Callithrix jacchus: one gene and its partners. The main gene of each other region encodes a partner of the protein of the gene in region 4 in a complex. Links are inferred from orthologs where the notes say so. Each region holds a gene or a part of one and is shown on either strand. Other genes may lie near its edges. The genes, in order: DRC4, DRC9, FBXL13, DRC5, DRC10, DRC8 and DRC1.

Evidence for each region.
Region 1: DRC5 (region 4) and DRC4 share a complex: the UniProt entries of both Homo sapiens proteins name them as parts of the nexin-dynein regulatory complex. The link is inferred for Callithrix jacchus from reciprocal best matches to the Homo sapiens genes DRC5 and DRC4.
Region 2: DRC5 (region 4) and DRC9 share a complex: the UniProt entries of both Homo sapiens proteins name them as parts of the nexin-dynein regulatory complex. The link is inferred for Callithrix jacchus from reciprocal best matches to the Homo sapiens genes DRC5 and DRC9.
Region 3: DRC5 (region 4) and FBXL13 share a complex: the UniProt entries of both Homo sapiens proteins name them as parts of the nexin-dynein regulatory complex. The link is inferred for Callithrix jacchus from reciprocal best matches to the Homo sapiens genes DRC5 and FBXL13.
Region 5: DRC5 (region 4) and DRC10 share a complex: the UniProt entries of both Homo sapiens proteins name them as parts of the nexin-dynein regulatory complex. The link is inferred for Callithrix jacchus from reciprocal best matches to the Homo sapiens genes DRC5 and DRC10.
Region 6: DRC5 (region 4) and DRC8 share a complex: the UniProt entries of both Homo sapiens proteins name them as parts of the nexin-dynein regulatory complex. The link is inferred for Callithrix jacchus from reciprocal best matches to the Homo sapiens genes DRC5 and DRC8.
Region 7: DRC5 (region 4) and DRC1 share a complex: the UniProt entries of both Homo sapiens proteins name them as parts of the nexin-dynein regulatory complex. The link is inferred for Callithrix jacchus from reciprocal best matches to the Homo sapiens genes DRC5 and DRC1.

What each region holds. Positions count from the first base shown.
Region 1 is NC_133521.1:47,675,309-47,678,977, forward strand, and holds part of DRC4 (dynein regulatory complex subunit 4), read left to right. Parts: intron 1-2,914; coding exon 2,915-3,124; intron 3,125-3,669. UniProt on the Homo sapiens protein: Component of the nexin-dynein regulatory complex (N-DRC), a key regulator of ciliary/flagellar motility which maintains the alignment and integrity of the distal axoneme and regulates microtubule sliding in motile axonemes.
Region 2 is NC_133518.1:81,458,540-81,462,208, reverse strand, and holds part of DRC9 (dynein regulatory complex protein 9), read left to right. Parts: intron 1-2,101; coding exon 2,102-2,230; intron 2,231-3,669. UniProt on the Homo sapiens protein: Component of the nexin-dynein regulatory complex (N-DRC), a key regulator of ciliary/flagellar motility which maintains the alignment and integrity of the distal axoneme and regulates microtubule sliding in motile axonemes.
Region 3 is NC_133512.1:73,437,598-73,441,824, reverse strand, and holds the start of FBXL13 (F-box and leucine-rich repeat protein 13), read left to right. Parts: upstream 1-1,305; 5' UTR 1,306-1,601; coding exon 1,602-1,676; intron 1,677-4,227. Other genes in the region: ARMC10 (armadillo repeat-containing protein 10), read right to left, coding at 1-60, 970-1,108. UniProt on the Homo sapiens protein: Substrate-recognition component of the SCF (SKP1-CUL1-F-box protein)-type E3 ubiquitin ligase complex.
Region 4 is NC_133505.1:52,749,808-52,753,476, reverse strand, and holds part of DRC5 (dynein regulatory complex subunit 5), read left to right. Parts: intron 1-50; 5' UTR 51-143; coding exon 144-420; intron 421-1,732; coding exon 1,733-2,301; intron 2,302-3,669. UniProt on the Homo sapiens protein: Component of the nexin-dynein regulatory complex (N-DRC) a key regulator of ciliary/flagellar motility which maintains the alignment and integrity of the distal axoneme and regulates microtubule sliding in motile axonemes.
Region 5 is NC_133510.1:116,197,100-116,201,348, reverse strand, and holds the start of DRC10 (dynein regulatory complex protein 10), read left to right. Parts: upstream 1-1,369; 5' UTR 1,370-1,410; intron 1,411-1,743; exon of another isoform or gene 1,744-1,767; intron 1,768-4,088; exon of another isoform or gene 4,089-4,227; intron 4,228-4,249. UniProt on the Homo sapiens protein: Component of the nexin-dynein regulatory complex (N-DRC), a key regulator of ciliary/flagellar motility which maintains the alignment and integrity of the distal axoneme and regulates microtubule sliding in motile axonemes.
Region 6 is NC_133520.1:41,228,037-41,232,450, forward strand, and holds the start of DRC8 (dynein regulatory complex protein 8), read right to left. Parts: upstream 2,895-4,414; 5' UTR 2,894-2,894; coding exon of another isoform or gene 2,816-2,893; coding exon 2,791-2,815; coding exon of another isoform or gene 2,712-2,790; intron 2,711-2,711; coding exon of another isoform or gene 2,696-2,710; exon of another isoform or gene 2,605-2,695; intron 1-2,604. UniProt on the Homo sapiens protein: Component of the nexin-dynein regulatory complex (N-DRC), a key regulator of ciliary/flagellar motility which maintains the alignment and integrity of the distal axoneme and regulates microtubule sliding in motile axonemes.
Region 7 is NC_133515.1:88,561,316-88,564,984, reverse strand, and holds part of DRC1 (dynein regulatory complex protein 1), read left to right. Parts: intron 1-2,479; coding exon 2,480-2,619; intron 2,620-3,669. UniProt on the Homo sapiens protein: Component of the nexin-dynein regulatory complex (N-DRC) a key regulator of ciliary/flagellar motility which maintains the alignment and integrity of the distal axoneme and regulates microtubule sliding in motile axonemes.

The DNA of each region.
Region 1 (3,669 bases), on a different chromosome or scaffold from region 4:
GTCTGGGGTCTCATGGGGAGCGGATCACACATGACTCACCTGCGTGTCCTGCAGGAGGCCTGGGGTCTCATGGGGAGAGGATCACACATGACTTTTGTTTTCTTAAGAGCTCCCCTCTGAGCACATGAAGGAGGCCTGGCGCCTTCAGCATGTCTTTCTTCCATGTGTGTATGTTTCTAAGTACTAACCTATTACTTTCTCATTGTAAAGAAGTCCTGGGGTCTTAAGTGTAAGTTAAAATGAGTCTCCAGGCCGGGTGCCGTGGCTCATGCCTGTAATCCTAGCACTTTGGGAGGCCAAGGTGGGTGGATCACCTGAGGTCAGGAGTTCAAGACCAGCCTGGCCATCATGGTGAAACCCCATCTAAAAAAAAAAAAAAAAATGAGTCTCTAGCTGCTCAGCACTGGTCTTCACACTGGCGAGCTTTGTGAGCTCCCTTCCTGGTTTCCCGGATGCTCTAGTGTGCATGTGACTGTGGATTACGAACACAGGATCAGGCATAAGCACAGCTTGCTTTTTAATCTCACAGTGTTTCAGGCTGCAAATAGGAAGCGGTTTCGCTCTCAGCCACATGGCGCTCCGATTGCTCATGTAGCTGACTCCCCTGTTTCTGATCCTCTGCTGTTGTAAGCATGGCTGCCTCAATAAATGTGTCTTTGTGCCCCTGTGTAAGATTGCGTCTTAGGAAAGCCGGTGCCTAGCAGTGGGATTGTCAGGTCTGAGGGGTCCGTGTTGAGGATTGTGATCGTCTGTCCAGAGGGCCGTTCTGAGTCACACTCCTGCCAGGGTGCTGGAGGGGCCATTTCCATCCTTCCTCAACAGGTTTAAACCTGTGCACATGTGATTGGGTGGGAAACAACTCATTTAGCGTGCGCTTCTGAGATTTCCAGTGAGTAGTAAATGCTGGGTCTTGTCTCTGTCCCTGGACACTCCCTGCCTCTGCGCAGTTTCAAAGTTCTGGCCAAGGACCGGTCCAGCACCATGGGCCCCTCAGGCTTTGTCTGTGGTTTGCGTGGCTGGAGCACCTTACCTTAAGCAGCAGTGATGGGTGCTGTTTCTGTCCTCCAACTTGATTGACATTTATGAGCACAGACAGTTGTAGTGGGGTTGGCCCCTCAGGAACATCCCGTCTGTCTGTCACATCTAGACCCACCTTCAGAGATGCCTCGGGTCCTGCAGGACTTGCACTGCTGGGCTGTGCCAGCTCCCGGGTGCAGCCCTGTTTGCACAGCTCAGGGGAAGGGCATCTGCAAGGCAGCCGGTGAGACCCAGAGGACTGCTGTGTTACACAGGGACCCTTCCTCCCCGCTGTGGGTTTTGAGTAAATGCTGGGTCTTGTCTCTGTCCCTGGACACTCCCTCCTTATTAGGAAGAGGAGAGCAGAGACGTGCCTGGGTTGGAGCCTTGTTCTCTGCCAGATTTTCTTCTATTTGGATGTAGTTCCTGAAGTTATCAAAGTCAGTGCCTCTTCCTAGAGAACCGAGAGCTCAAATTTGTCAGCAAAATGTAGAGACCAAAGACACTTACAGTCTAATGCATATGGACAAGGAACTGGATTTCCGCAAATCTGGGGAATTCTGACACCAGTTAGAAGGAGTGCAGGGCCAGGTGCTGTCCTGGAGGTGCTGCAGGTATCACAGGTTGTGGCTTTGGAGAAAGCTGCGGTGTTTTAGCATGGTCCTTTTTTCTTCCAAACACTTCCAATCCTAGCACTTTGGGAGGCCAAGGTGGGTGGATCACCTGAGGTCAGGAGTTCAAGACCAGCCTGGCCATCATAGTGAAACCCCATCTAAAAAAAAAAAAAAATGAGTCTCTAGCTGCTCAGCACTGGTCTTCACACTGGCGAGCTTTATGAGCTCCCTTCCTGGTTTCCCGGATGCTCTAGTGTGCATGTGACTGTGGATTACAAACACAGGATCAGGCATAAGCACAGCTTGCTTTTTAATCTCACAGTGTTTCAGGCTGCAAATAGGAAGCGGTTTCGCTCTCAGCGAAATCTCTAAATGCATAGAGAACATTCTAGAAGGGGTCACACCACGTGTTCATAATGGTGGCCTCTGGGAACTGGGGTTAAGGGGTTCACTTTTTTGAGCTGGAGTTTTGCTCTTGTTGCCCAGGCTGCAGTGCAGTAGTGCAATGTCAGTTTGCTGCAACCTCTGCCTCCAGGGTTCAAGCATTCCGCCAGCCTCAGCCTGCCTAGTAGCTGGGATTACAGGCACCTATGACCACACCCCGCTAATTTTTGTGTTTTTAGTAGAGAGAGTTTCACGATGTTGTCCAGGGTGGTCTTGAACTCCTGACCTCAGGCGATCCACCCACCTCAGCCTCCCAAAGTGCTGGGATGACGGGCGTGAGCCACCGTGTCGAGCTCAGGCTGTTCACTTTTTTATAATCTTCGACAAAGTCTAGATTTGTTTAGAGTGCATAATTCGTAGAAAAATTAGGTGAAAAAGAATGGTTTTACTGGCTGGCAGGCGGCTGGCTCCAAGGCTGTTCTTCAGGTCCTCCATTTGTGGGCCAGGCTGCACGTGGGATCCGAGAGAGCGCATCCTCCACGGGCCCACCCGCAGCTCTGCCTGCTGGATGCCTGGGATCCCACGTCCTCGATGAACCCACAGCCCTCGCTCGGAGCCACCCATGGAGTGGCTTTCAGGGTGGGGCTGCTCTAGCTCTTACCGGGACTCATGGCTTCTAGAGACACCTTCCTGAGAAGGCTTATGCTGTGTGGACAGCTGTGCAGAGGGCCAGCATGTGGGCAGTGTGGATAACAACCGCTCGGTGCTATGGGGGTGGGCACTGTTGGAAAGCCACCTCCCAGAGAAAGAAGCGCCGTGTTTGGGTGGGAGGCAGCTTCTCCCCAGTGAGATGTCCCCAGGGGAGGGGCCTCACAGCCCACCCAGCACTGTCCCTGCAGGTGCAGCAGGAGCGGGATGAGCTCTACCAGAAGTTCACTGCTGCTATCCAGGAGGTGCAGCAGAAGACCGGCTTTAAGAACCTGGTGCTAGAGCGCAAGCTGCAGGCGCTCAGCGCTGCTGTGGAGAAGAAGGAGGTGCAGTTCAACGAGGTGCTGGCGGCCTCCAACCTGGACCCTGCATCCCTGACGCTGGTGTCCCGCAAGCTCGAGGTAGGCCCTTGAGGTAGGCCGCCCCAGTGGGCAGCCTCTTCCCTATGGCAGGACCCTTCCGTTCCGTGCTGTGCCTCCTCGGATGGGCACAGACCCCTCGGTCAACCACTGGACGGGGGCATTCATGGGCTTCCTGTTGCCCGAGAACAGAGTGGCATGGCTGTCTCTCGCTGTCTTAGCTGGTGGTCTCCTCTCATCAGTTCTGCTGAAGTCTCTTGATCTTCCCCGGACCCTGTGTGACCTCATGGTGCCTGCTAACCTCTGGGTCTCTGCTCACTCCAGTTCTCAGGCCTGGCTCATCCAGGCATCTAAGGCTCTAGTCATCTCAGTGCAGCCTGACAATGGGTGTGGGAGTGGAAAAGCCACGTGGAGTCTCTGTGGGCCTGAGCGCCTCCGTTGGTGACAGCAAGGCCCAGGTGACAGACACAGGCCTGGAGAATGGTTGTATCTCCTGAGCTCTCAGCTCAGCCACCACCCCCATCCTGGGGCAGAGAGGGTGCCGGGATGCCCTGAGATGGGCTGGGTTAGGACATGGGCAGTGCAGG
Region 2 (3,669 bases), on a different chromosome or scaffold from region 4:
CATATCTTTTCTTGAAAGACCCAAAATACCAGTCTCAGATTATTTGTAGGGGATTAGTTTTAGGTTTATATTCCATATGAAACCCAGCGTGGCCGAGTGCAGTGGCTGACACCTGTAATCCCAGCACTTTGGGAGGCCAAGGCAGGCGGATCACAGGATCAGGAGATCGAGACCATCCTGGCCAACATGGTGAAACCCCGTCTCTACTAAAAATACAAAAAAAGTAGCTGGGCGCAGTGGTGCACGCCTGTAGTCCCAGCTACTTGGGAGGCTGAGGCAGTGAACCAAGGAGGCGGAGATTTCAGTGAGCCAAGATCACTTCACTGCAATACAGCCTGGGTGACAGTGTGAGACTCCGTCTCAAAAAAAAAAACCCAGGGTATACTCATGAAATGTACATCTTCCACAGTTATCCAGAATCAAAGTGGAAATCACAATATTAAAGACATAAAAATGACAATAGATTGGAGGTGGTGGCTCACACCTGAGATTCTACCACTTTGGGAGGCCAAGGTGGAAGAATTGCTTGAGCCCAGAAGTTTGAAACCAGCCTGGGCAACAGTGAAATCTCATCTCTACTAAAAATAAAAAAAATTATCTGGGCATGATGGTGCGTGCCTATGGTCTCAGCTACTCTGGAGGCTGAGATGTGAGAATCACCTGAGCCTGGAAAGTGAGACTCTATCTCTAAATAAATAAATACATTAATTAATAATTTTTAAAAATCACAAAGTTCCCTTTCATTTATTTTTTTCCTTCTTTGCAGACAGAGTCTTACTCTGTCGCCCATCCTAGAGTGTAGTGGTGCCTCCTCATGAGGTCAGGAGTTCAAGATCAGCCCAGCCAACATGGTGAAACCCTGACTCTACTAAAAATACAAAAATTAGCCAGGTGTGGTGGTGTGTGCCTGTAATCTCAGCTACTCAAGAGACTGAGGCAGGAGAATCGCTTGAACCTGGAAGGCAGCAGTTGCAGTGAGCCAAGATCACACCACTGCACTCCAGCCTGGGCAACACAGCGACACTCCATCTCAAAAATCATAATGAAATTGGAATTATCCCAGGAAGACAAAAATAGTTTAGCTTTGGAAAATGTAAAAAAAAAAAAGAAGAAATAAAAAGAAAGATCAAGCGATGCAGAAAAGGCATTTGGCAAAATTCCACATACATTCATCATTTAAAAACCAACAGCAAAAACCTCTTAGCACCACCATAAACCTGGCTAATAGAGTGAGTCTCTGTCTCAAAAAAAAAAGTGAAACTACATGTATTATTTAAATAAAATGCACAAACACATAATGAAAGTATCACAACATGCCAGAGAATAATCATCACCGGATTCAGAAGAGTGGTTGTCTTTGGGGAAGGTTGAGGGACTGGGATTAGAGACTTCAAATATATTTGACATATGTCTGAAAAACCAAGTCTCTACCATGGTAAAATATTTAAATTTTGTGTTATATGCAGAAATATTCATTATACTTTCTAAATTTTTGAAATACTTCATAATTTTGAAAAAAGTTAAATCATTTAAAAAAAATTTTTTAAAGACCTAATCAAACTTTTTTTTTTCTTTTTTTGAGACAGAGTCTTGCTCTGTTGCCCAGGCTGGATTGCAGTGGTGCAATCTCAGCTCACTGCAACCTCCGCCTCCTAGAGTCAAGCACTTCTCCCGCCTCAGCCTGCTGAGCAGCTGGGATTCCAGGCACGCACTACTGCACCTGGCTAATTTTTGTATTTCCCCGTGGAAATACAAAATACAAGCTGGTTTCAAACGTCTAACCTCAAGTGATCTGTCTGCCTTGGCCTCCCAAGTGCTGATATTACAGGCATGAGCCACCACGCCTGGCCTGGGTCTTAACTTGTGTGACGTCTGTAGCCCTTTGTGAATATAGGGAAATATATATACATATACATACATATTTTGTTTGTTTTGAAACCAGGTCTTGCTATGTTGTCCCAGCTGATCTCAAACTCCTGGGCTCAAGCAGTTCTTCCACCTCCGCCTCCCAAGTAGCTGGGATTAAGGCACATGCCGCTGCACCTGGCTTGAAAATTTAATGTATTAACTCATCTTTTTTTTGTTTTGTTTCTCCTCTCAGGCAGTTTTTCAGTGATGTGATTGCAGATACCATTAAGGAGTTGGAAGATTCGGGCACTTTCAACAATCTCCTGCAAGCTTTGAGCAAAGAGAGGGGGAAGAAAACGCATTTCTGTGATGTCATTGCCAGGTGAGAATACCGTATTTCTATGGTGTCATTGCCAGGTGAGAATACCGTATTTCTATGATGTCATTGCCAGTTGAGAATACCGCATTTCTATGGTGTCATTGCCAGTTGAGAATACCGCATTTCTATGGTGTCATTGCCAGTTGAGAATACCGTATTTCTGTGGTGTCATTGCCAGGTGAGAATACCGTATTTCTGTGGTGTCATTGCCAGGTGAGAATACCGTATTTCTGTGGTGTCATTGCCAGGTGAGAATACCGTATTTCTGTGGTATCATTGCCAGGTAAGAATACCGTTAGGGTTATTTGCTTTGCTGCATTTTAAAGTGCTGTAACACTCGTACTGGAAATCCTTGATTCTAAAGCAAACCAACCATTTGCTTTCCAGGGAAGATAACTAGAAGTCAGAATTTGGGTTTTCTTCCTAGTTCTGCTGGGACAATAATTCAGATTGCTGGGCCTTCATTATCTGTATTTACAATACATCAAGACTATTCTTCCTTCTCTGTTAGTCTTTCTTAAGATTGAATTCATTGAAAATCACTGAACAATAACAAATGAATGACAAGGAAAGTTTTTCTTTTCCAGGACCTTTCAACTTAGGAATTCTTTCCGAAACTCCATTTTTTTTTTTTTTTGAGACAGAATCTTGCTGTCACTCAAGTTGGAGCACAATGGCCTGATCTCAGTTCACTGCAACCTCTGCCTCCCAGTTCAAGCGATTCTCCTGCCTCAGCCTCCCAAGTAGCTGGAACTACAGGCATGCGCCACCACACCTAGCTAATTTTTGTATTTTTAATAGAGATGGGGTTTCACCATGTTGGCAAGGCTGGTCTCGAACTCCTGGCCTCAAGTGATCCACCCACATCGGCCTCCCAAAGTGTTGGGATGACAGGCGTGAGCCACCACGCCCGGCCTGAAACTCCCTTTAGATGTTCATCCAGTAATGATTGATCCTGCATTTTTCTCGTCCTTTTTTGCTCATTTACCATCAGCATTGTTTTTATTCTGCTCTTAGAGAGATTTCCTTAACTTTGTCTTGCAACTCTTTCTTTCTTCTTCTTATTTTTCTAAGACTGGGACTTGCTCTGCTGCCCAGGCTAAAGTGCAGCCTCAACCTCCCAGGCTCAAGTGATTCTCCTGCCTCAGCCTCCCAAGTAGCTAGAACCACAGATGTGTGTCACCATGTCTGGCTAATTTATTTTATTTTATTTTTGAGACGGAGTTTCGCTCTTGTTACCCAGGCTGGAGTGCAATGGCACAATCTCGGCTCACCGCAACGTCCGCCTCCTGGGTTCAGGCAATTCTCCTGCCTCAGCCTCCTGAGTAGCTGAGATTACAGGCACACACCACCATGCCCAGCTGATTTTTTGTATTTTTAATAGAGATGGGGTTTCACCATGTTGACCAGGATGGTCTCGATCTCTTGACCTGATGATCCAC
Region 3 (4,227 bases), on a different chromosome or scaffold from region 4:
GGAGTTTCTGAAGTTGTTCAGCATTCAGGACATCGTCATACGAACCATCAGTTAAGTCTTCTGCATAAGAAGAAAGTTATTTGAAGTTATATAAAATCAGTATGAGATTATTTTTGAGACAGGCTCTCTCTCTAGTTGTGTTAGCTAATTGCCTTCATCCAGGGCAAAAGTAAAAATATCTTTATGATGTGGAACCAGGTGCCCATTAGCAAATTGCCCGAGATGGTGAGGCAATCTAGTTTGTGCTTATTTAACAATGAAGCTGTTTAGTTTTCTTCTGCAGTTGTGGACAGGAGTTTCTTGGATGGCAGATGTGATACTTTAAATTATTTCCCTAACAGCTTCCATGATGTGAAATATCCTTTCTGAGAGTTTTAACGTACCATTCAACTTTTGGACAGAAACCGAATCACGCATTTGTCCCCTAGGAGGGTGTGTCTCGCGCAGACAACTGTTCCCATTTCCAAAACACACATCAGGCTTCGAGGTCTTGGACCACTGTGACTCCCAGGGACCTCCCCTCTAAGGCCGGGCCGAGCGCCCGCACAACTGTCCCTCTGGCGTCCCTTCTTCCAGGGAACCTGAAAGCAGAGCTTCACTTACCGCTCCCGGCCCCTCAACAGCCTTTCCACAATCTGGAGAATCCCTTTAGTTACACAAAGGCCCGGAGCACGCTTTGAAGAGAGGCCATCAACAGGCTTTTAAGAAACCTAATCCTCCACTGTGACGCGGCGCTCGGGCCGGAAAGCTCGGACAAGTTTTCATGTCAGTATAGTGAACAAAGAAGCATGGACAAGTTTTCATGCCGGTATAGCGAACAAAGGCGCAGCGGGGCGACGCAGCACCCTGCACCCACGCAAGTATCGCCTCTCCCTCTAGCTCGGCTCCTCATTTTACCTCAAGGACACACAAGCCACCACTCGGGCCTGGGGAGCCCTTCAGCCCAGTTCCAGCACCCGGCGGTCTCACCTGCGGACTGCGAGGGGCGCAGAACGAGCCCGCGGTCGCCCCGCCGCCGACGGCGCGTCAGCCTGTAAATGCAGTAGCATGCGCCGGCGCCGAGGAGTAGGCCCGCCGCCACCCAGCCCACGCCCCGGGCGCCACCCATGCTGCCGCCGCGGCAGAGCCGCAGGGCCAGGCCCGAGCAGGAGGCTAGTCTGGGCCAGCGCAGATATCTTCAGAACAGGCGGGCCTCGCCGCCACAGCAGCCGGAGAGCTACTAGGTTGTGGAGAAAGGAAATGGGGGTCTGAGCTCCGCCTCCCGGAAACCGCCCAGCTCAAAACCTATAACCGCCCACTAGGGCCGGGCGCATCCCGGAGGCTTTCACCAGGTGAGGCGGGTGGTGCGCTGGACGCCGGGAGGAGCAGCTGGGACCACGCGCCCCACGCGGAGACGTCGGCGCCGCCGGCAACCCTAAGCCGGCTTACGCGTCGCTTCTCCCGGGGCGTAAAGCGAGCCTCCCTCCCTCCCGCATAGGGCTGTGGAGCGCGGGGCGACTCCGCCCCGCCCCGTGGTTGTCAGGACAACGTCCTTCGCGCCAGGCCCCCTAGTTCCCGCGCGGGGAGGGGATGAGCGCAGCTTCTCCGTCAGGCCTCGGACCATGGCCTCGCTACGCAATGCCAACCCGAGGCTGAAGAACTACTTCAAGGAGAACTACATTCCTCAGGTCTGCGAGGTAATGGACACGCGTGGCGCAGACTCGGACCAACGTGGGTAGTTAAAAGGGGGAGGAGTCAGGGAAGACTTCCCGAAGGAGGGACTAAATTAGCGGGTTAGGGGAGGAGTGGAGGGAAGGCGGGGCGGAATGCCAGAAAGTGAAGTCAAATTGGGACTTGTGGGCGCTCTGGCTGAGGATGCAGATGAGAGAGAAGACAGAGGGTGGTGGTAGCTGCACGTGGGCAGTGGTTGACATCTCTCAGGGGAAAGAACACAAGGCCCAGGACGGAAAACGCAAACTCAGTTTTTAAGGTTTGGACAAGAAGTGCCTGAGGACTGGAGGAGGAGTGAGAAAGAAGTGCCAGAGAGTGTGGGGAGGAAAATCAGTAGAGTGGCATTATGAAAAGAGTTGTCAGAAGTAGGGAGTCAGCACTAGTCACCTAAGATAAGGACCTGAATTCTGCCCAGCGTAAGCCTTGGGGAGCTGTGAGGACAGAAACTAGTTAGAGGTTAGCTGAGGAGAGGGTGGAAGCTGAGAACTTTGGTCAGTGGAGCCAGCCCTTTGTGAAGTAAGGACCCTCTCAACCAGGATTGCCTTTAGACAGGAGGAAGGACTTGCTCCCCACTCCCATTATATTAGAAGGGAAGGAAGACAGGAAGGGGATAGTTACTAGGTGTTGTAGGTTTTGGGGATAGAAGGCTGAGAAAGTTTGCCTTTGCTGACCTTTTTTTTCCCTACTACAAATAGTTGGTGAGATATTGGCCAAGAATGTGCGTGTTTGAGTGGGGATGGGGCTATTGGTGCAGTAGGAGGTTTGAGCAAAGATACATTATGAGGAGAATGAGGGAGAGAGATGTTTAGGGCAGGAAAGAGGAGAGTCCAGGTTAGTAACTAATCTCCTTGGCGGTTTCTGGGGGCAATTTGGTAGACTTCCTCCCTTCCCCCTCCCCACCCTCGTTTCCCTTTTTGGATGGTACCAGAGAAATATATATTAAAATGTTCGGCCAGACGTGGTGGCTCACGCCTATAATCTCAGAACTTTGGGAGGCCGAGGCGGGTGTATCACGAGGTCAAGAGATCGAGACCATCCTGGTCAACAAGGTGAAACCCTGTCTCTACTAAAAATACAAAAATTAGCTGGGCATGGTGGAGCGTGCCTGTCTATAGTCCCAGCTACTTGGGAGGCTGAGGCAGGAGAATTGTTTGAACCCAGGAGGCGGAGGTTGTGGTGAACCGAGATCGCGCCATTGCACTCGAGCCTGGGTAACAAGAGCGAAACTCCGTCTCAAAAAAAAAAAAAATGTTAAATACATGTACCCTTTAACCAAGCATTTCCACTTTTGGGAATCTACTTTAGAGAAATACTTGCACATGTGTTCAGAAGGATGTACAAGGATATTCATCATAACTTTGTTTCATAGTAAAAATAGTAAATGACCTAACAGTGACTAAGGGAATGAGATATTATGTAGAATAAAGTATATCAAAGTATATCTGTAAATACTAAGAAGAAAATGCCCTCCAAGATTTATTATTATTATCATCATCATTATTATTGAGACACAGGGTGTTGGTCTGTCACCCAGGCTAGAGTGCAGTGGCTCCATCCTTGCTCACTGCAGCCTAGAACTCCTGGGCTCAAGTGATCTTCCCACCTAGGCATACCTGGCTCCTAACACTTATTATTAAGTAAAAAAGAAAAAGTGCAAGTTGCTTAGCAACTATCCATTCTGTTCTAGCTGTCCGATTATTTAATATATGTTGTATATATGTTTATGTGTACATATATATGTGTATATCTGTAAGACAATTCATGCCTTGTCTTGTGGAATGGTTTTAGGGGAGGAGATGGAGAATTCTAAGTTTTTACTCTATCCATAGCTGTATTGTTTTAATTTATTACAGTGAGTTTCATGTTGTACTTTAAGTTTACTAATTTTGTTTTATGTTGTGTCCAGTCTACTCTTAAGTATATCAAATGAAATCTTAACTTCAGACATGTTTTTTAGTTTTAGAATGACCATTTGATTTTTAAAATAAATTCTGATTATTAGAATTATGCATCTTTTCATTCATTTTGCCTTTTTCTGTTTTATTTGTTCCCTCCAAATCTGTTGAAATTTGATCCCCAGTGTTGGAGGTGGGGCCCAGCAGTAGGTATTTGAGTCTTTGGGGCAGGTGCCTCCAGAATGGCTTTGTGCCCTCCGCTGTGATAATGAGTGAGCTCTTGCTCTATTAGTTCACCCAAGAGCTGGTTGTTTAAAAGAGCCTCCTTCCAGCTGTCTCTCTGACTCCCTCAGTATGTCAATCCTCAGTTGTCAAATGGGCTCTCACTAACATAGTCCTACATTTCCTAGTACTTTCGTTACTGACTATTCCATTACACCCACAGTGAAAGAGTAGACCAAAAAAAAAAAAAAAAAAAAAAATCCATAGGAGGCCAAAGCAGGTGGATCACCTGAGGTAAGCAGTTCAAGACCAGCCTGACCAACATAGAGAAAACCCATTGCTACTAAAAATACAAAATTACCCAGGCATGGTGGCACATGCCTGTAATCCCAGCTACTTG
Region 4 (3,669 bases):
CCACCAAGACCCTCCAAAGTAACACCTCCACCCTCTTCCTTTTTCTCCAGATCCCTGCCTGTATCAAGGGTCTGCCAGTCTGAGAAGCTTCTTGTCATAAGGGCATCCAGGGGCCACCTGCCCCTACGTTGCCAGCCCCCAGCATGCAGGATAATGTAACATCAGCATTGTTGGACCCCAGCCACTCCTCAGTCTCCACCCAGGACAAGTCCTCCACTGGAGGCCACACTTCAAGCACAGGCCCACAGCCCTCAAAGCTTTCTTCAATCACACCAGTGCCTGCAAAGTCCAGGAACCCAAATTCTGGGGCCAATTTCCATCGGATGCGCCGGATCATTGCTGAGGATCCTGAGTGGTCTCTGACCATCGTGCCCCTCCTCACAGAGCTCTGCATTCAGCACATCATCAAGAACTTCCAGAGTGAGTCTGTCCCTGTTTTGGGTGGGAAGAAGAAGGCCAGGAGTGGGGCAAGGTGGGTAGGGACTGTCTGGAGCCAAGACTGCAGAAGCTGGGTCCCAGGGCAGCCCCTGCTCTCCCACATGACATCCTCATACCCCCTCAACACTTCCCTTCCACCCCAGGGCCAAGACAGCTTCTCCTGCTGTTCCCACTGGCAGGTCCCACCAGCCTCCCACCCACACTGGACCCGCCATGCCTCTGTTCTCTCCTTGCCTTTTCCACTCTCTCCAGCAAAACCCAGTCTGAGCCACATCTACTTCCTTCTCCAGAAAGCCCTCCCAAGTGAACCGCCCCCCACTCTGATGGAGTCTTCCATGCCATGTAAAGGCTCTTGGTTTGTTCTATATTTTGTGCTCTGTAATATAGATCCTTTCCAAAGATGGGTTGCCAGCCTCTCCTACCAGATGAGGAGCTCTCTGAGGACAGGACGATCATTTCATCTACAGTAACTATTGTCACCCAGTCTCATTCATTTTACTTGTTTGTTGTCAGCCTCCCCTCACTAGAATTTAAACTCCAAAAGGGATGAGCTCTGTTTTGCTTGCTTTTTTTTTTTTTTTTTTTTTTGAGACGGAGTTTCGCTCTTGTTACCCAGGCTGGAGTGCAATGGGGCGATCTTGGCTCACCGCAACCTCTGCCTCCTGGGTTCAGGCAATTCTCCTGCCTCAGCCTCCTGAGTAGCTGGGATTACAGGCACGCGCCACCGTGCCCAGCTAATTTTTTGCATTTTCAGTAGAGATGGGGTTTCACCATGTTGACCAGGATGGTCTTGATCTCTTGACCTCGTGATCCACCCGCCTCGGCCTCCCAAAGTGCTGGGATTACAGGCTTGAGCCACCGCACCCGGCCTTTGCTTGCTTTTATATCTCCAGCATGTGGGACATAGTAGTCTCTCATAGTGGTACCTTCAGTGTCTAGCACATAGTAGGTGCTCAAAAAATTTCTTGTTTTGAAATCGATGAATCAAATCAGATTGGAAGCCTCTGACCTCAGAGATTGTATCCCCCATCAGACCAGGTGATAATTGAGAGTTGAACCTGAGAGTCTGCCTCAGTCCCGGAGCTACCTGAGAACAGATGATGAGATGTCCACCTTCATGTAGGGAACATCCCAAAGCTAAAGGCTAGGTCTCCCCGTCCAATAGAGCCTCCCTGAGAGCAGAGGAAAGGGTCTTCCCTTTGCCCAGTGCCCTGAGCCAGGCCTAGCCTGAAGCATCATGGTGAGGTGTCCCCCAACACTGTGACCTCCTGCTTTCCTTCCTCTGTTCCCATAGGAAACCCTATCCTGAAGCAGCTGCTCCCGGAGCACCAGCAGAAAGTCCTGAACCACCTGTCCCCTGACCTACCACTAGCTGTGACCGCCAACCTGATAGACGATGAGAACTACTGGCTCCGCTGCTGCATGCAGCGCTGGCCCGTGTGCCACGTGGCCGAGCATGGCGGCAGCTGGAAACGCATGTTCTTTGAGCGGCACCTGGAGAACCTGCTAAAGCACTTTATCCCAGGCACCACGGACCCCGCAGTGATCCTCGACCTGCTGCCACTCTGCAGGAATTATGTGCGCAGGGTCCACGTCGATCAGTTCCTTCCGCCGGTGCGGCTCCTGGCCCAGCCCCAGACCGGGGACCAGTCGGACTCCGGCAGCGAGGGAGAAATGGAAGAGCCCGCCCTGGACCACTACCAACTGGGCGATCTGGTAGCTGGCCTGAGCCACCTGGAGGAGCTGGACCTGGTGTACGGTGTCAAGGACTGCGGCATGAACTTCGAGTGGAATCTCTTCCTCTTCACCTACCACGACTGTCACTCCTTAGCAGCCACCATCAAGGCATGCCACACCCTCAAGGTACTGTCTGCCCCCAGCCTTCACCCCATCCCTTTCAGCATCTCTCAGATTTCCTCTCCCCATCTCTCAGACTCCTTCTCCCCTCATCTTCCTCCTCCGTTATTACCATTTTCCCATTTCCTTCTCTTTCATTGGCCAAGTGGTTTTTAATGGTCCCTGCGCCAAGCTACACGGTTCTGGGTGTGCAAAAATGAACAAGGCGCTGCCCTCCCAGTTCACCAGTTTGTTTCATTTAGCAAACATCTGCTCTCCAGGCCCTGTCCTAGGTGCTGAAAATAAAACGATGAGCAAGATCGTTTGTTCCCTCTGTAGCTAACAGTCTGATGGGATAAAGGCACTAATCAACAGTCATATAAACATAAAATTGAAACTAGAATAGGGTTGCCATATTTAGCAAAGAGAAATACAGGACATCCAGTTAAATGTGAATTTCAGGTCCAGGCATAGTGGCTCACTCTGTAGTCTCCCAGCAACTGAGGAGGCTGAGGTGGGAGAACCCCTTGAGCCTAGGAGTTCAAGCCTGCAGTGAGCTTCAATCACACCATGGCACTCAAGCCTGGGTTACAAAATGAGACCCTGTCTCCAAAAAGTTTTTTAATTTCAGATAAACAAAAAATAATTTTTAGTATAAGTATGTTCTGAATATTCCATGGGGCATTGTTATTTATCTAAAATTTATATTTAACTGGGAATCATGTATTTTTTTTCTGGTACCCCTGAATTGGTATAAATGCTATAAAGAAGAGATACTTTTTTGTTTTTTTTCTTTTGAGACATAGTCTCGCACTGTTGCCCAGACTGGAGTGCAATGGCACTATCTTAGCTTACTGCAAGCTCCGCCTCATTCAAACTATTCTCATGCCTCAGCCTCCCAAGTTGCTAGGATTACAGGCGCCCGCCACCACACCCAGATAACTTTTGTATTTTTAGTAGAGACAGGGTTACACTGTGTTGGCCAGGCTGGTCTCAAACTCCTGACCTTGTGATTCGCCTGCCTCAGCCTCCCAAAAGTGCTGAGATTACAGGTGTGAGCCACCGCACCTGGCCAGAAGTGATAGTCTTATGAGAGACTATAAAGGAGCGTTTGACCTTGCAAGGGAAGAGGTCCCTGAACAAATGTCTTACATAGAGATTAGAAGGAGGAATAAGAGTTATAGTCTAAGAGGGAGGATCACTCCAGGCAGAGGGAGCAGTGCCTAAGGCTCTATGGGCAGAGTGAACATGGCCAGCTCTAGGGACTGAAAGAGAAGACGTGTGGCTGGAGCAGAGTGTGAGTGAGGAGGGTGGGACGAAAACAGAGAGGCAGTCAGTGATCAGCCTTGCTGGGCAAAGGAGGCCTTGTTCAAGAGGCTGTCTTTATCCTTACCA
Region 5 (4,249 bases), on a different chromosome or scaffold from region 4:
GCTCAAAATGTCAACTGAGCTGCTGTTGAAAAATCCTATCTCAGCCTGTATTCCCACTTTACAAATGAGGAAATTGAAGCTTGGAGTGATTAACTTGCCTCTTTTAAGTTTCAATACAGGCAGTCCGAATTCAGGAACTCTCCCTGCTTAACCATTACTCTATATACACCTACGACTAGAACCAGTCCCCCGATTTTTGAATTCAAACACATCATTTTTCCAGGGAGACTAAAATGAGGCCCAGAGAGGGGAAGAGACTTGCCCAAGGTCACACAGTGCAGAAGCAGGGCTAGAACCCGGGACTCCTGAGTCCCGGTCCAGTGTTCCCTTCGCGGGCTTTGCTTCCGGCTCTAGAGAGAACCCAAATGGCCAACCCTGGGGAAAGGGCCCAGGGGAAGAGAGGGCCAGCTGCCATCCCGCTGTCCGCTGGGGCAGCTGACCCGGGCACTAGACTCCTGCGGGGTCACCTGAGGGCGCCAGGGAGAAGGGCGAGGGAGGGAGGAAGGAGGAGGCAGGAGCGCCGGCTCCAGCTCCACGTGCTCCCACACCCTGGCTGGACGCCCACGTGAGGGTCGTCCCAAGAAGTTCGGGGCGAAGAAAGTGGGTGCAAAGCCCCCGCCCGGGCTGGACGGAGAGAAGAGCGCCGAAGCCTTCCCCGCGGCCCCTCCGGGCCCTTCCAGCCCACCTCCCACACCAGAGTGCCGCTCCACAACCCCTTACTCCGAGCCCTCTGACCCCTGGTCCCTGCCCTCTCCCTCGGGCCAAGCCCTCGCATCCCTCGGATTCTTACACGCGCCGCCCCAGCAACCCGAACCATGCGCCGGGGTCCGCACCGCGCAGCCCAGCCCTCCGGCGCCGCCGCCAAAACCCCGAGCCCGAAGCTGTTGCAGCAGCCGCAGCTGCACCTACTTCAGCCACTGCCACCACGGCAGCTGCGCCAGCTCTCCCATCCGCCGCCTACCGTCCTCTCAACCCCGCTGGCTCCGCCCCTTTCCCCTTGACAGCGACCTACTGGCTAACTGGGATACCATGATGAGTTCTGATTGGTCATATCTCACGTCCTTCCGCAGGTCTCGCCCGCTGCCGATGCAGTACTCCCTGCCCGCCTCCTTAAGAAGGGGCGGGACGAATAATCCACGCCCCTTTCTCCTCCCATCTGCCCCGCCTTACTCTTTGAGGGCAACCCAGAGGGAGTCCCCAGTCTTTCCATTGGTGAAAGGTCAAAATGATGGTGCTTCTGATTGGTCAGGCTTCAGGAGGTGGGGACAACTGAGCGGAACAAGGAATTGAGTGGTGAAAAGAAAGGTCAGTCAGACGCCAAGTCCCGCCTTCTGAGATTGGCAAGTAACCTAGCAACGCAGGGACCGCTGCGATAACTGTGGCTAGGGAAACCTGGAGCCTTCAGTGCAGGTGAGTAACCAGGTAGGGAAGGGTCGCGGATCGGGGGAGATGTGGAATGGGCTTCAGCTCGCTGCCCTTTGGCTCCCTGAGGAATCAGTGGCCCTCGCTGCGATCCCGTCTCAGCTTCAGGACCCTGTTCCTCGGCCCCAGCCTAAGTCTAAACCTCTCACTCCACAGCCTGCAGGGAGCCGGCCTCCATTCTGCCCTTTCTTCCAGCCCACTTCAAGGCCCCACTCCCCCATCCCTAAAACGAGGAGGACACCAGTCCAGCAGAGTCACATCGTAGTTAACTTATTTCAAATCAAACAAGTTGGAGGGAAGTTTCTAAGTCCCCTGCCATTCCACCCAACGGCCATACGTTCCTCGGTGAGCATGCATCTCAATTCAGTGTTTAAATCAGGTTTTGTGTTGTTTTTGGCGGAGCGCGGTGGCTCACGCCTGTAATTCCAGCACTTTGTGAGGCTGAGGCGGGCGGATCCCTTGAGGTCAGGAGCTCGAGACCAGCCTGGCCAATATGGTGAAACCCCATCTCTACTGAAAATCCAAAAATTAGCTGGGCGTGGTGGCACACCTGTAATCCTAGTTACACGGGAGGCTGAGGCACGAGAATCGCTTAAACCCGGGAGACCAAGGTTGCAGTGAGCCGAGATCGTGCCATCGCACTCCAGCCTGGGCGACAGAGCGGGACTCCGTCTCATAAATAAATAAATATATAAAGTAATTTTTATTATACCACTTTTACCTTTTGTCCTAACTTTGTAATTTAACTCCCCATTCTGGTCCTTAAGATGTGATCTCAGCCCGGCGTGGTGGCTCACGCCTGTAATCCCAGCACTTTGGGAGGTCCAGGTGGGCGGATCATGAGGTCAGGAGATCGATACCATTCCGGCCAACATGGTGACACCCCGTCTCTACTAAAAATAAGAAAATTAGCTGGGCATGCTGGCAGGCCCCTGTAATCCCAGATACTTAAGGGGCTGAGGCAGGAAAATCACTTGAACTTGGGAGGTGGAGGTTGTGGTGAGCCAAGATCACACCACTAACACTCCAGTCTGGAAGAGAGTGAGACCCTGTCTCAAAAATAAATAAACTAACATATAACCTAGCAATTCCACTCAGGAATGTGTTGAGAAATGCTGACTGTATGATAAATATATTGTTTGCTAAGAAGAATGATGGCAAGGAAAACCTAGCCGTGCCCCCCCCCCAAGTGGAAAACTACTTGGGGCACTCTAAAGTAGCAAGACAGTATTTGTATATCATACACCACTTAAAATAAATCTTTAAGCGCGAGAGAGGTGACCCTGCCCCTGTGGCTCCCTCGTAGAGGATGCTTTCTGGTTTGTCTGTGATCAGTGGTGAGCAGGCACCAGGTGCCTACCTACTTTATTTTTGTTCTATGAGAAAACACAGAACACCTGTTTGTTAATAATAATCACCTATTCAGAGAGAATAACTATGTGAGTCAGAATCTGCTTGAGGCCCTCAGCCTGGAATGCTGTCAGCACCTGAGGTTCTCAGCTCTGAAAGCTGTTGGTCCCAGGATAGTCCCACTTTGCTGTTCTTTCTGGGTGTCTGCTTCTTAATGCCTTTAGCACTGCCTGGGTGGGGGTCTGTATGGCCACGCTGGTCTCTGTAGGAATGTACCCCCACCAAGTGAAAACATATGTTCCCAGAAAGACTCAAATATAAATGTTCTTAGCAACATCACCCTTAGTAGCCCCAAACTGGAAACAAACCAAATGTCATCAACAGGTGAATGGATAAACAACTTGTGTTATTTCCATAGAATGGAATATTATTCAGCAATAAAATACCATTCAGGAACAAAATACTAATTATTGCTGTAACCTGGATGAACCTGAAAACATGTTAAGTTAAGGGTTTTTGGCCCAGTGGCTCACGTCTGTAATCCCAACAATTTGGGAGGCCAAGGCAAGAGGATTGTTTGAGCCTAGGAGTTTGAGATCAGCCTGACAACAAAGTGAGACCCCCTCTTTACAAAAAATACAAATATTAACTGGATGTGGTAGCATGTGCCTGTAGTCTCAACTATTCAGGAGGCTGAGGTGGGCAGATCACCTGAGCCCAGGGAGGTCAAGGCTGCAGTGAACCATGATTGCACCACTGCACTCCAGCCTGGGTGACAGAGTAAGACCCTATCTTTGGAAAAAGCAAAAGTCAAGATTTTTCAACCTTAGCTCTGTTGACATTTTGAGCACAATAATTCTTTGTTGCGGGGGACTATCCTGCCAATTGTAAGATGTTTAGCAATAACACGAACCTCTACCCACAAGATGCCAGTAGTAGCCTCTCTCAGTTGTAATAAGCAAGTGCATTTCCTGATTATTGCCAAAAGTCTTCTGGGGGCAAAGTGGCCCCAGGTTGAAAACCACTGTGCTAAGCAAAAAGTTAGATGCCAACGATTACGTCCTGCATGATCCCATTTCTGTGAACTATCCAGGAAAGTTAAATGTGAGTAGAGGCCAGGGTCCGTGGCTCATGCCTATAATCCCAGTATTTTGGGAGGCCAAGGCAGGTGGATCACTTGAGCCCAGCAATTTGAGACCAGTCTGGGCAACATGGTGAAATCCCGTCTCTTCTAAAAACACAAAAATTAGCAAATCCTGTCTCTCCTAAAAACACAAAAATTAGCCAGGCATGGTGGTACACCCCTGTGATTCCAGCTACTCAGGAGACTGAGGTATGAGAATTCCTTGAACCTCACAGCAGAGGTTACGGTGAGCCTAGATCGCGCCACTGCACGCCAGCGTGGGTGACAGAGTGAGACTGAATCTCAAAAACAGAACAACTACAACAAAAAATGTGAGTGGAAACAGATTGTTTG
Region 6 (4,414 bases), on a different chromosome or scaffold from region 4:
AATTGCCTGAACCCAGGAGGCGGAGGTTGTGGTGAGCCGAGATCGCGCCATTGCACTCCGGCCTAGGTAACAAGAGCGAAACTCCGTCTCAAAAAAAAAAAAAAAAAGCTGTCTTTGATTAATTCAAATGTTCTGAATTCAACAAATATGTATTGATTACCTACCATGTGCCAAGCACTCTGCACAATATTCAACATTAACAGATCAGAAATGGTCGCTGACCTTTTGGAACTTACAGGGTAATGAACATATCCTTCAAAATTATCCTCTCTTTTGTGTGATTCCATGGTCATCAAATGACTTCTGAAATATAAATTCACACTACCCAAAGCTTAGTACCCATAAAACAGTATGTTACATTACCAAAATCAGCCTTCAGGTCAATGTATATACCACTATTTAAACTAATAAATCATTCAGGTTTGCACATCAGTCTTTTATGAGTTTAGCTGAGTGAATCCTCAAAACTTAATTCGGATTAATTGGCTAGATGTAATTTATGAAAATTCAAAATAGAGTAGCTGAAAATCAAATATAGTAATGGACTATTTCCATAAAAAGTCTTATCAACAAAGTGAGTCTTTACTTATTTTATCCTCTGACAAAATGCCTTTAGTTCATCATACCCTTCAAACTGCAATTAGTTAATTCATAAAACTGTAAACCATAAATGAGATATGCCATATGAGTACTTCCCAAACTTTAATGTACATACAAATCACCTACAGATACGTTAAAATGAAGACTCTGATTCACTGGTGGGGGGCAGCCAGTAATGCCCAGGCTGCTGTCCGCAGACTACAAAGACACACACCTAACACAGTGGCTGGCACGGAGTCCACGCAGCGCAGTTAACTATTCCCTCCCATTCGTATGCATCTCAGCTCCCTTACTGAGCTCAGCTTTCTTGGGAGCTAAGACAATGTCTTTTTCATTTTTGTATCTTTCAGAGTTCTAAGCAGAATGCCTTATCTACATGAAGTTATTAAATATACGGATTCTGAATGAATGGCATCCAGCTTTTAATAGTCATTACTTCTTCTGTGAGTTGACAGAATTGCATCTCTGAATTTTTCTTAAATAGAAAAATATTGTTCAAAAGTTGAAAAACCAGGAAAGCTCTCAATCTATTTTTTAAAAACGATAAATACTGTATTAGTACCATATTCCTGTTTGTGTCTCATGCTGACCTAACCAAGTGTTTTTTAAGAAAACAAGTATCTGGCTACTTGGCCCCAAAAGTCAAAAAAAAGAAAACAAATATCCATAATTACTTTTCTAGTCTCTCTCTTAATGGTTTTCCTTTTTTTTTTTTTTTTTAATAAGGAACAAAAATAATTTATTCATTTTTCTGGGGAAATCTTAAAAGTAACCTTTTCTGTGTATGTAAGGGCATCTTCATCACGGTAATACCTATAAAATAATCCCGGCTTCTCAGATTCATATCATATAAAATCACAGGATTCTTGCTATCAATAGGCAGACGCTGGCAGTTTCATGTCGCCGCCTATTTTCTGTGATCACCTTAACAAGTGACTAAATAGCTCAGGGCTCGTTTATTAGCTGTGAACCTGACCACACTCGGTTCCATGCGGAGAAAAACGGCACGAGAGGGCGTTGTGAGGATGCGAGAAGGCAAGCAAAGGGGGAATGTATTTTCACTTCGTAGTTGTTCAGTTTCACGGGTTTTGGGACATTGTTTTGTCTTGGTGACTTTGCCAACTACCAAACGCAATTATTCTTGAGAACCTAAGGTCTTGGTAACCGAGGATCGGGTTTTGATCACATCATAAATTATACCACGAATTGAAAACAACATGAACGGTCTGGCCAAGAAACGTCATCCCTTTTTGGCGTCTCGGCGCAGGCAACACATTGACGCCTCTTGATCTGGCGACCTTACGCCTCGAAGCGCACAGCGCCTCTGCAGGCGGCCACCGCGCGGGGCCGGGGGTCCCCGGGGACCGCGGGAGAGGCCCCCCCGCCCCCGGCGTACAGCGGCTCCGCGGTCTCGGCGGGGTTTTGGTGTTTCGTCTTTATTAACATTGCCGTTTGGGTGTATGTCTTTGTTGTGTGTGTTTTTTTTTTTTTTTTTAAGAGTCCAGGCCGGTTGCTCGGCGCCGGCCGGCCGCAAGGCAGGCATTTCCGAGGCAGGAGAAGCTCGGAGGCAGCGGCTGTGACCTCCAGACCGTCCTCCCGCGTCCTCATTAAGAAGGCAAAATGGTGGCGGCGAACGCCATCAGGCTGCGCCAGGGCGGGTTTTCGGCGCCAACAGGATCGCGCCAAATTCTGGCGGCCAGAACGCGTCCTCACCCGGCCGCCCCCGGGGCCCACAGCCTGGACAGCTAAGGGCGTGGCGCCTGCGGCACCGAGAGCCCAGGAGGGTGCGGAGGCGGCTGCTGCTTCCCCGCGGCACTGAACAACGACACCATTATCAGCAGCCCCGTGGCGGCGCCTCCGCTGCAGCCCGCGCCGGAGCCCAGGCCCGGCCTCCGAGGGAGGGGAAGAAGGACGCGGCGGGAGGAGGAGGGAGGGGGGAGGAGGGAGGAGGGAAGAGGGGGGGAGGGGGGAGGGGAGAGAAGGGGGACTGGGGAGGGAGGAGGCGGGGCGGAGCGGCGGAGACGGGGCCGCGCGGCTGCCCCTGCTGGGTGGGCCCCTCCTCAGGCCACCCGGTCCCTGCGGGTGGGGACTCCAGATGGACGAGGGCCCACCCCCACCCGGCGCTGCGCCCAGCAGCCCGGGGTCGCGGCGGGCGGTGAGGGCAACGGCTCCCCGGCTCCCCGGCCTTACCTTCCCTGTCCGTCTCGTCCGCCATCTTGCTACGGTCGCCTGGGAGATGCCTAACGACAACCTCAGCCGCGGGGTCCCGGCCGGCTTAGCGCCCCGCGGCCAACCTGGCCGGGAGGAGGGGCCGCCCCGAATCGCGGGGGAGGAAGACCCTGGGGCGGGGCGCCCGGGGCGGGGAGGAGGCTCGGAGCGCGCGCCCGGTCCCGGCTTCCCGCCGCGACCCTCGCGCAGCGGGAAGACCAGAAGCGCCGTCTGCCAGCGGCACCCGCGCGTCGCGCCACCCGGCCCCCAGCCTTGTCCCTGCGGACCCGAGGCCTAGCAGTGTCCCTGAGTCACACGGCCCCCAGCCCCTCCTGTCCCTTATTTCTCATCCTTTTGGGGGCCGCACGCGCGCGCACACACACCCCTCTCCCCCTCCGGTCCTGTTGGTGCGACGTGGCGTGGCTCGGTTTCTGTTGTTAACTGCAGATTTTGAAAAGCAGCCAGAGAGTAGGTGAAGAGCTGGGCTCCCACGGCGGGGACAGAACCAGCCCGCGGCCCGGCTGCTGCAGAAACGCCGCTCCTGCCTCCCGGTTTCCCCCGGCCAGTCCTCACCGCCCTTTCCCGGAGAAAGCCACAGCGCAGCCTAGGACGGCTGAAGCTCAAACGGAAAAACTGGGCCGAGGAAGAGGAAGCCAGAGCCATTCGATTGCTATTACTAGAGGAGAGAAATAGCTGTAGAAAAACATGCGCAAAATAGGCGCAAACATTGCGTCGTCAAGGCTGCAATTTCTAATCAAAATAGAAGGTTCTCATAGCAACAAAAACGTGCCCGTGTTATGCTCAGTATTACATGCGGTAAAACGTTCTCAGGTGAAATTGAACAGGACCGCTGGTTAAACTTATAATGGAAGTTTTAAATTCTGCTTTCAGGAAACTTTGCAGCTATAGCATGAGGTTAAATTTTTGTCTTATTTTCAGGATAAGTTTACTAGAACGTTTTTCTTTTATAAAGAGCTTTGAAGAAAATACCGAATGATGTGGTTCGAATGAATACCTGTTTTCAAAACTAATCTTAAAGGGTATTTCAGTGCATATGTTATGTAAAAGCAATTTATAAACTATTAACTGTACCTTTAAAGAGGCCTTCAAAATACAAGGTACTCGTATTTAATGACTGAACAATTTGAATGCTTGTATTCTGGTTCTATAATCTCTCAAATCCTAAAACTGACTATATTTTTCTTTGTTAACGTACTTTTTCTGTAGAAGATACCCATTGGATCAGCACCAAATTGAAATTGAATAACTTGAACAGAATATGAATTCAATATTGAATTGAGTTGAAACTGAATATAAACAACTGAATCATTGCAAAATGGCTCGTGTTAGAAATTGAATATAAACAACTGAATCATTACAAAATGGCTTTTGTTAGAAGATGGTTGAATACAGTCTTGTACAAAAAATGTTTAACACACCAAAAATAATGAAAAGTAATTATTAGCATTCCTTTATCTAAATCTCATAGTTGATATGATCTAAATATTTGTGTTTAAAGACTCCCTCTCTCCATATGCATAATGAAGGGCTTGGAAAGAAGTGTAGGAAACCCTGAGGTTGGTCTCAGGCTTACTATTCACTATGC
Region 7 (3,669 bases), on a different chromosome or scaffold from region 4:
TAAATTATTACATGATAAACATGTTAAATATTTCATATATGATAAAATGCCATACTATATAAAAGTATTCTAGCCCATAATCACAGCACTTTAGGAGGTCGAGGCAGGTGGATCATCTGAGGTCAGGAGTTTGAGACCAACCCGACCAACATGGTGAAACTCTGTCTCTACTCAAAATATGAAAATTAGCCAGGCTTGGTGGTGGGTGTCTATAATCCCAGCTATTTGAGAGGCTGAGGCAGGAGAATCACTTGAACCTGGGAAGTGGAGGTTTCAGTGAGCTGAGATGATGCCACTTCACTCCAGCCTGGGTGACAGAGCAAGACTCTATCTAAAACAAAACAAAAGTATTGTGTACCATTAAAATGATGTTAATAAAACTTTACTAACATGGAGAATTGTTGCTGCAATATTGAGGGAGAAAAGTAGGATATGAAATTGTAGACATAGTCTGATTGCAGCTGTGTAAAGGACACTGGAGGGAAGCATGCTGATATTAACTGACATCATCTTCGGGGGTGCAGATATCAGTCATCAAGCAGCCTTTCTTCTGTGTCTTCTTTTTCATTTGCTGTACTTTCCACATTTTCTACAATGAGCAAATACTGCTTTTGTGCTCAGGAACAGTTTTTACAAAGAAAAATGTCTAACTAGAAAAAGTAAATAAAAAGCAAGTAGAGAAATTGAGAGGTAGATTAGTTAGATCTCAGGGACCAATAGGATTCATTTACCATCTGTTAAAAGATACTACATGCTTCTGTTCTGCAGGAGACATTCAAATATTCATCTCGTAATGGAGGTTGAAAAATCTCTGCCATGGTGATGTAGAATATCCTTGACTAATTCCCCGTTACAACGTGGGGATCACTGGATTTCACAGCACACATGGAAATGACGTGCTTCCTGACCCAATGAAGTGTCGCCTCCTTGCCAGGAGCCCTCCTCGAGTATGACCCAGAGCGGGTTGTGATAGCCACTTGGAATCACTTCCTCTGTTGATTCCTAGGCAAGATGTGTAGCCTAGCAGAGGGAGACGGGACGGAGGCTGGAGAGCGCATGCACATGGTAGCTTTATTGAGTTTCTGACTCCACTAAATTGCCTTCCCATTCCTGCATTTCACTCAGGAGAGGCAGGAGCATGCCAACCTCCAGCCTTGCCTCTCTCTGATCTTTTTTTTTCACAGATTTTCTGCAGTGACTGGACCAACCATTTTCCTTCCCTGCTTAACATTGTTAGTAGGCCTCCATTGGCGTCAGGAAAATGCTTTACATTCCTGGCCTTGGGGAGGGGTCTGCTGCTCGGAAATGGAGTCAGCCTCATTTCTGACCATTTCTTGCCTCATGTCTCACATCCTGAACTTCTTGTGGTTTTCCCAAAACAGCCCCCCTCTCTCTCGCCTCTTATATGCTGTTTCCTCTCTCTAGAGCCCTCTCCCTTCAGGTGTCACCTGCGTAACTCCAGCACATTATCTGGGCCTCGGCTAGACAGGCCATCTTTCCAGGGATGCCTTCCCTGTTTCTCAAGACCAAGGACTGTACTCTTCTCATTGGTCCCATAACTGGGCTTCCCTCTCTCTTGCTTCTTATCATTAGTGTTTTCCCAATGGCACCTGGAAAAGTATCTGATGCAGATTAGGCACATGATAAATATTTGCTGAATGAATGAATACAGCTAATGGAAGTCCAAAAAGTAAGCATGACTGTGTCTGTCCTTTTAAGTGGACCTGGGTTGTTAAACAGTAACGCTTCCACTCTGGAAGGTCAAAGTGGGGAAACTTCAAGTTTTTGTGGCTATATTTATTTCTATGGTGTTTTTTAGAGGGGCTGCTCATATCTCTAAAGGGTCTGGTGAAAGTTTCCAGAGTTAGCTGGACTTGAAATCTCTGTGATCTTTCTTAGACTTAGGTACACAGATTTGAGCTTACAGTTTGTTGACTTGTATTTTATCTTGGCCTTTAACTTGAGTCTCATGATAGACTTTGTTTACAAGGCATGCTGAGGCACTTATCCCTAAGGTTCCTCTAACATGACTTGAACAATTTATCAGAGGCCCACAAGCTAGGGCCAATTAGTCTGTGTATATATATATATATAGTATTTCAGAGCATACCTTTATTTGTGTACAATTCTAGATATAATTCACAGGGCAGATAAGTTTATAAATGTAGGGAAGTTTCTTTTTATATTACTTTCAGTATAAATTTCTGCCAATACCTTTACCTTGTACATCTTTGTTATTTCTGAGTATAGGTACAAAGATGAATAATACATCTGAATATGGATATACATAGCTAGGTAAATAAACATACACAAACAGGATTATATAAGGATGTCTATGTAAATATTTACCTATACGAAGCATGTTCCCCAAAAGACATTTTAAATACATGAGTGTATGTAATACTAAGGATACAGGTGTAGAGTTAGTATGTGTGTGTGTGTGTGTGTATTCACACACACATAATCTTTTTAACTTTAGATTCTTGAGCAGCATCTTCAGCAGAGGAAAGCAGTTTATCAGCTAAACCAAGAGAAATTGGAGTACAACCTGCAGGTGCTGAAGAAGAGAGATGAGGAAAGCACGGTGATTAAATCCCAGCAGAAGAGGAAGATCAATCGGTATGCTAGCATGCAGAGCGTCTTTCTTCTGGGCCCTTCTGTGCTGAGAATAGGGATGGGTATGTGTTTTTCTCTATTGAAGGGGTAGAAACCAGTAAAAATATAACCAACACTTAATTAAATCGTTTTTTTGGGAAAAGTTAATACATTCAAGTGGTTTCTCCCCAAGAAAAGAGTACATAGCAAAGGTCTTCCGTCCCCATCGTCTTGTTCCTCTTTCCCACCTCTGTAACATTGTTTCTTCCAGAATTTCATTAGGCACACACAAGCACACACACATACTTTCATCCCCCATCTGCTTTTACACAATGATGGTGGTCCGTACACATTGCTGTATATATTGAAGACCTCCCCTTCTCAGTTCGTAGAGAACTTTTGCGTTTTTTTTTTTTAATAGAGACAGGGTTTCACCATGTTGGTCAGGCTAGTCTTGAATTCCTGACCTCAGGTGATCCACCCGCCTTGGCCTTCCAAAGTGTTGGGATTACAGGCATGAGCCACCGCGCCCAGCTGCTTTCACGGTTTCTTAAGCTGCTTACTACCCACTGCATAGATGCACTATGATTTATTTGACCAGTCTCTAATGATGGACACATAGATTGCTTCCCGCCTTTTTCTCTTACAAATAATACCAACCTAAATACTCATGACAATGCACCAATTTGCTTTTGTGCAGACACCGTGGCTCATTGAAAGGTCCCTATTGCTTGAAACGTCTCACATGTCCTGTCCTTCCTCCTTGTCTCCTTACTTCCATCCTTCCTGCCTTTCTTCCTTTAAGAATTGCATTCTAAGTTCCAGACCACTGCGCTAGGCTCTGAGGACCAGAGTGGAAGAAGACTTCTTATTAGTAGCAGACAAGATTGAAGGTTTTTCTCCAAACCCCGAATAGCCTATTATTATTTATGAATTCTTCCACTTGTAGGTTGATAATAATACATTTTGGACACATATTGAATGTATAGAGGAACACCAGTTGACCTTTTGATAGTGACTTATCACAGAAAATGATACTGAGTAAATGGTATGTCATCTTAAGCCTGATTATCT